Linked DNA regions of Nothobranchius furzeri. The protein of the gene in region 1 interacts with the protein of each later gene in a biochemical or structural test. Links are inferred from orthologs where the notes say so. Each region holds a gene or a part of one and is shown in the gene's direction. Other genes may lie near its edges.

Evidence for each region.
Region 2: the proteins of disks large homolog 4 (region 1) and lrp2b form a complex in vitro, tested with the Homo sapiens proteins (2 studies listed by BioGRID and IntAct, with this or other methods). The link is inferred for Nothobranchius furzeri from reciprocal best matches to the Homo sapiens genes DLG4 and LRP2.

What each region holds. Positions count from the first base shown.
Region 1 is NC_091750.1:46,442,168-46,445,924, forward strand, and holds the start of disks large homolog 4, read left to right. Parts: upstream 1-1,147; 5' UTR 1,148-2,008; coding exon 2,009-2,125; intron 2,126-2,216; exon of another isoform or gene 2,217-2,303; coding exon of another isoform or gene 2,304-2,345; intron 2,346-3,757. UniProt on the Homo sapiens protein: Postsynaptic scaffolding protein that plays a critical role in synaptogenesis and synaptic plasticity by providing a platform for the postsynaptic clustering of crucial synaptic proteins.
Region 2 is NC_091756.1:35,640,694-35,644,350, reverse strand, and holds part of lrp2b (low-density lipoprotein receptor-related protein 2), read left to right. Parts: intron 1-2,633; coding exon 2,634-2,750; intron 2,751-2,876; coding exon 2,877-2,987; intron 2,988-3,657. UniProt on the Homo sapiens protein: Multiligand endocytic receptor. Acts together with CUBN to mediate endocytosis of high-density lipoproteins. Mediates receptor-mediated uptake of polybasic drugs such as aprotinin, aminoglycosides and polymyxin B.

The sequences.
Region 1 (3,757 bases):
TATTTGGGTCCTAAACATCCCCGAAACGTGACAAGTTTCTCAATATGCGTACTTGTGAAACGTCACTGAAAATGGCATCATCATCAACACTGGCCCAAGTATTGTTCCAATCTACCATGGCAAGTTCCCTCAAGATTGCGTCAACGCAACCTTCTGCAGACTTGGGCCTGCAAGGACAGTGGCTTGTAATTCATCATGCTTAGGATTACAAACCGTTGTACCTCAAACTGAAAATGGCATAGGAGAAAGCTCGTAGCTCTAGAGTATTCATGTCAAAAATACAAATAATGAAGTCTAGAAAAATAAATTAAAAGTTGTTTCTTATTGTAGATAATTGTCCATCCATCCATTCATTATCTGTACCCGCTTGTCCACGCAGGGTCACGGGGGGCTAGTGCCTATCTCCAGCAGTCTACGGGTATAAAAGCGGGTACACCCTGCACAGATTGCCAGTCCATCGCAGGGCAACACAGAGACACACAGGATAAACAATTAACCATGCAAACATTCACACCTAAGGACACTTTAGAGACACCAGTCAACCTGAACGTCATGTTTTTGGACTGTGGGAGGAAGTGGGAGTACCTGGACAGAACCTGTGCATGCACAGCGAGAACATGCAAACTCCATGCAGAAAGACCCCAGGTTGGAATGTAAACCTAACGCTAACAACTGTGTAGCCCACCATAGATAACTGTGCGTGTAACCCATACATTTGCTGTGTGGGTTTTATAATACCTCAAAATGAAACTTAGCTCATCCACTATTAAAATAAAACCAACGTAGCTTTAAACAGCTCTGTTTGATGAAAAAGTAACATATTTTTCTTCAACATGCCGTGACGTAATGGAGTACGGTTCAGATCCAAATGCCGTCCTTGTACCCCCGTATTCGTTAGAACGGACTTTCTCCTGTACTTATCAAGAACGCACTTGTCAGTTACTCAAGAACATGCTAGCATAAACATCCCAGTTTTTACGTTGTGGACTTAAAGAATGCTTGTGACTGCACACCTCACTTCCAGTTGTTACTGCTAGGCGTTCTGGAAGATCACTGTTGGTCCATGAAACCCAAATGGTCCCTGAACATCGATGATGTGGACATTACCATCTTCCTGTGGAGAAGAGTGAGTTCAGATTCATCTGAGCAGCTCATCAGTGCCGAGGAGAATCACGGCTCCTCTGCATCAGCGTGAGCCAGCTGAGATCATTGGCACATCTGCTAAGGATGTCCTCTGGGTACCTGTTTCCAGCATGACCCACCAGGAGGAGGCCTCCAAACAGATTTAGTAGGAATGGAGTAGTTAGATTTCCTAGCTGGTGTGGGAATGCTTTGGTTTTCCCTCGGTAGGGCTGGAAGAGGTCGCTGGGGAAATGGGGGGAGGTGTAGGGATCTCTGCTAAGGCTGCAGTCTCTGCAACCTGGTTACATATAAGACCATGGATGGATGAGTGCTTCAGTCCTTCCTCTGTCTCGCTCACCTCAGAAAACGTCTTCCACCAAACCTTAGAATTTAAAAGTTTTAGCAGGACAGCTCAGAGTGTTATCATCCCAACAAACCATCCTGTTAAGATTCTCGTGGGAATTCTGCAAAAGCAGGACAGACATCAATGTTGGACCAGTTTTCTGTAGGAATCTACTTTTTCCCCTTCGGGAGAGACTAGACTGGCTCCAATAATGGCCAAAACTTTGTAGTCGTTCAGGATCTTCGAGGAGGATCAGCAGCATGAGTCTGATAAATGAAGACGTGTGAAGGAGGATCTGCACAGAGAATAAAATGATATGGATGCACAGAAGTGTCAGAAATCTGCATGTTGAATATTTATGAAACAAGTTCCCTCTTATGTAACAGACACTTTTCTATGGGCTCTTTATTTCTGACATTGTTTCAGCGCAGGAGCAAAAGAAAGAGGCAGCGATGATAACATACTACGGAGGGTTGATTCACTGTCTCTACGTCTCCTCTCCTTGTCCCTCCCTCACTCATCGGCAGCAGCCAACATATTTTTATGAGTCACGGTCGGAGCAGACCGCTCGTCCCGTCTTTTCAGCCTCTTGCCTTTAATATCAAGATATATCCAACAGCAACAACTCTGGCTTCCAGGAAAACTCTCGCTCCTCGTCTGGTACGACACGTCCCTCCCTCCTCTTGTCTCGCCCTCCCTCTCTTTTTATTTCCTCTTCCCCTTCCCCAGCCTCGCACCCCCCCCCCTCTCTCTCTTTCTTTCTTTCTTTCTTTCTCCCCATCCCTCCCCTCCTTTACTGCGGGTGTCTGGGAGGCTGTTTTTCCTCTGTCTCTTGCTCATGAAGGGCCGCACTAAGCTCCCTTCTCTCTGCCCATGTGTGGTAGGTAAATTCACCTCTGTGTTTGTGACGTTCTTCTCTTTTCCATCTCTCTGTTGCTGCCTCTGATTTGCATGTTAGCTCAGAGTCTGCAGGCTTGAGGGGAGCTCCGTGTCTACATGTGTGTATATTGCATCGAACATGCTCGTCATCACGCTCGTCATGGAGAAATCACAAACATGTGAATGGGGATTTGGTCATTCCTTCATGTGCATTTTCCACGTATGAACACGGCCTGACACATGTACCGGTGGATCAGGGAGCATGTTCTGAAATGCGTAGGGAGGAAAACTCCAGCAGACTTGTTGATTAAAACATTGTTTGTTCCATTTAACGGCAGGTTATGCCGTAGCTTTCTTTTGTGAATTAATCACGTTGGTGTGCATTTCCATCCTACAGACCCCAGTCAGGGCCAGGTATAAAACTGTTGTGGCAGGAATTTGATATATGATTGGTGTTTATGTGCGGAAGGTGTTATGTTGCCTGTGTAAGCCTGAGAGGGTTGGTTTTAATGGGGAAGCAGAAGTCAGCACAACACCGGATGTGAAATGAGGGTTTAGGGACCGTCCACAAACTGCAGCATTAATATTCAGCAACATCTATGTCCCATCACTGAACCCTTATTAGATGTTTACGAATCGTGTTTGTGTTTCCGTCTGATGTCGTTGCATTAGTTTAAACGTTTGCTGAAGCTTCATCTTTGGTTTTTGATGTGGCTCCTGTGGACGTTAAGCTCAGAGAATGGTTTGTTTTGATTCAAATTAGACTGAGTGTAGAAGGAAGGTGACATTATTGAATTTCTTTAAGAGTTATTGGTACCATTATCTAACCTGGACCGTCCCTCCCTGCAGGAATACTCCTCAGTTTTGTCCCTTTGCCGGGTTTCTGCTGTTGCCACGTTGTTCTGTTGTGTCATGGGTGATTCTGCAGGTTGAGTGCTTTGCAGTCTTGTTTCTGATTTTATTGTATTTCTGGTACTTCCTGTTTTATTTTGTGCATTCACTTCCTGTCTCATTACAGGCAGCTTCACGACATGAGGCTCCTCACTAATCAGCCTCATGTCTTGCACCTGGGTCCTGGCTTCTCCATTTAAGCGTCTTTGCAACAGTTTCCTTTGCCAGTTTGTCTTCTCCTGTTGTGTGATGTGAACCTGCTCTCAGAAACACTTGGTAAAAGTGTATTCAGTTAGATTTGGACTTTTCAGTTGTGTTGTACTCCAGGAATCCCTTCTGCTTATTAAAACTGGGTGAGCTCTGCATTTGAGTCCTCTTTGTGCTTTGATATGTTGCTTCTTTGTGGTCATTACCTTCATTGGGGAGATTTTGGTTTTCCTCTTCAGAGTTTTTGATTCAAACAAAAAAAAAATGCAGCATTAAAAGCTTTTAAACAACTCTGTTTCCAGCTAGATTACAAAT
Region 2 (3,657 bases), on another chromosome or scaffold:
TACTTTGTTATGAGTTTTGGCCGAGTTTGGCCAATCAGAATTTGACACATTTCTGAGTATTTGTAACCTAGGCAACACTGGAGCTGCAGAGCTCAGGCGCCACACCAGGGATTCACAATGACACAGGTGGAGAGCGAGGGTGCAAAACCAGAGGGACACAGACACAAGAGAGCAGAAGTTTGTCTGCGACCTCTTTTATTAACTAAATAAAGCCCCCGTCTAAAAGTATATAACTAAAAAAAAGTTTGAGTCCATAAAAGCAATTAAAACCTGTTCTTCAAGAAAACCCCCAAAGATACTTGGGCTCCTCCGAGATCCACAAAGTCACGCGGAGGGAATTTCCAGGAAGGGAAAGGCGACGTCCCGGCTTCGGCGTCCGACTCCAGCAGTCTCTGGTCTCGCTCTCATCAGGCGCTCGTCTCAGGCGTGATCTCCCGGGGGCTCTCGCCGCTCCTCCCTGACAAGGACAGATCACTGGGGCAGAACCTTTGTCTGTGAAGCAGTGCAATCTCTTTCTCCTCCCGTAGGATCGGCCCATTCGGAGCATCACCCAACATACAACAGTGGAAGCCGTCTACTCACGGATGCAGGCAGAGGTCCTACCTCCACCCTGCTGTCATTCAAAGGCGTTGCTCCCACTCGTTGTCGCTGCACGCCAAGGATGAACTGCTCCTCCCACGATCCAACCCGTTCTGTGCTACGTCCTCTTATATTAGTCCAGTCCCTCTGCCTTCTTGTTTCTTTGGTCTCTTTTTCCTTCCTGCAGTTCTGCAGCTTCCTTCCTTTATCAGCCTGCTAACTATGCACACTTGGTGCGCTTTCACAGTCATGCCCACCTCTTCAGGTGACTGTCATGTCAACAGTGGCAAAACAATCTAAACTAAACATGCACATAAAACCAACAACACACAACAAAATCATGCAATAACACAAAACTGTTAAGAAATTCCAACAATTATTAAAATAATTTAAAGCAACATAAAGCACACATTCCACTGTGTGACATATTTACCAACATCCCTCAGAAAGCCACGCCCTTCTTCAGATACAAAGATTTCTTAACACTGTGAATAAGAATCTTTAAAACTCTTATGTGAGGTGAATATTAACCTTAATATGTATCTTACTGTAATGTGTATGAGTGTAAACAATGATTAACTTGTTAAATCAAACACATAGTGATTTGTGATGTAAATGGATCATTGTAAGAAAAATATTCATTTCAAATTCATTGATTTAAGCACAGATTTTTCAAACATTTCATTTAAAGGGGCATTATGGAAGTTTGACAGCCAAAACATGTATGGAAATAATAAATGTCTTCTTCATACATTCTCCTGCAATGCCCTGGTCCTGTAGAATGAGCCCTGGCATTTTTATTGTGATTGCCTGTTTTTCTGTAAAATCACAGAAAAAGAGAGCTGCTCAGGTCGAGCAGGCTGCTTCATGCGCGTTCACGCTCAGGCATAGCCCGTAGCATTTGCTATCAGTAGCTTTAGTCTTTGTCGCTGTTCCTAACGCCTAGTGACAAAGCTAGCTACATTTCTGAGGACTCTTAGCTACTTTCTGTAGAACTTTCTTCAAGATATTTCCTACAAATTAGCAACAAAATAGCCATTTTCGCTCCGAATCGTTCTTTGAACATTGTTTCAGCTGTCATAAAGGATATAAATGTTACAGATACAAAGGACATTACTAGCAGTTTAGCTCACCCAGTAAGATGTCGGACTGTCGTGCAGAAGATCCAGGTTTGATTCTGGATGTGAACATAGTTTATTTAGAGTTTCTTTTTTACATTAATGGTCGATTTTTTTTACAGTAAGATGCCCAAATTTTTATTTGAGACTCGCCGAACGGCATTGAATTCACAGATAAAAAAGATGTGGGTTCAAATTTTATTTTGGAACAATTTTTCAAGCAAGGGAAGGGAATGATCTGAACATGCAGGACTGACCCATCTTAAACCTTTGTCGGCTGTGTATGAAGCATACAGAACCAAATTATTTAATTAATTAGCTGCACGTTCTCCTGCCCTCTGTCCTCTGGGCCACACACACACACACACGCACACACACACACACACACACAAACACACACACACACACACACACACACACACACACACACACACACACACACACACACACACACACACACACACACACACACACACACACACACACAAGGGACTGTCTCAGCTCTTATTTTGATTAAGGAGTGTGCACGAACAGCATGCCGCCTCGTGCACGAGACTACTATTGAAGCTGCCGTTATGCTTTTGGCCTGAAGGGGCAATCGCGAGCATAAAAATTCAAAACTCCGTAAAGTCCCTTTAAACATCTTGTTCATTCATCACATATGATTATTGTAAGTTTATGAGTTTTAAAATCATGGAGTCTTCATTTATTCAGAGTGAAGAATGTTGATGTCTGGCTTTCATGCAGTGAGTGCAGGAACCTTGGGAGAGAATGTTTGTCTGGGTGTTTTATCTACTTTATGGAAACACGCAATGAGCAGAACCTTCTGGTTTTGGAAGGCCAAACAGAAAGTGGATTTATTTCTGTAGATGAAAGGTTATTATGTTGGTTAATATATAGGTGAAAATTGACCCTTTTGGACGTTACATGTTTCAGGTGGACGAACCTGCAGCCCAAACCAGTTCACCTGCCAGGAAGGCCAGTGTATCTCTCTTAGTTACAGATGTGACCACATGATGGACTGTGTGGACAACTCCGATGAGAGGAACTGCAGTAAGATTCTTATTCTGTCTGTGATGCATCATAATAGTTTAGTATCCGATGTTTTGCTTTCAAATCAGTTAAGGTTTTTCTGAAATTGCAACTATTTAATAGCTGGAGTAAGCTTGTTTCCTACAGATTATCCACAGTGCACCGAGAAGACCTGTGCTAACGGGGCCTGTTACAGTAACTCTCAGCACTGCAATGGACTGCAAGACTGCAGGGATGGATCTGATGAACTTAACTGCAGTGAGTAAATTAAACAAAACACCAACACAGACCCATTATACCATGCACAAAGGAAATAAGTGTTGAAAACCTGGATATCAGACATCTTTTGAACCCTGTGAATCTAAGGGGAAGAGGTTGCGAGTTGGGCTTGGTTTCTACAGATGCTTCCATTGGACTGGTATCTAGAGAGTTTGGGGGCCAACTCTTTACTTCTCTGGATTTTGGTCTTTGTCAGGTTGACTAACATTAGTCAGCAGCAGTAGCTCAGGATGTACAGCTAATTGTTGGTTTGTAGGATCGATCCCAGACCCCAGCAGAGAATGCTGCTGTTGTGTCCATGGGCAAGATATGTAACCCGCATTGCCTGCTGATGGTGGTTGGAGGGATCGGTGGCACTTGTGCTCGTCAGCCTCACCTCTGTCAGTGCACCCCAGGGCAGCTGTGGCTACAATGCAGCTCACATTACCATCAATGTGTGTGTGTGTGTGTGTGTGTGTGTGTGTGTGTGTGTGTGTGTGTGTGTGTGTGTGTGTGTGTGTGTGTGTGTGTGTGTGTGTGTGTGTGCGCGCGCACGCGTGTGTGAATGATACATTGTAGTGTAATGCGCTTTGGAGTCCCATAACTCTGAAAGGAGCTTTACCAGTGAGGGTCATGATGAATGAATGGCTAGTTTATTTTCAAACAAGCC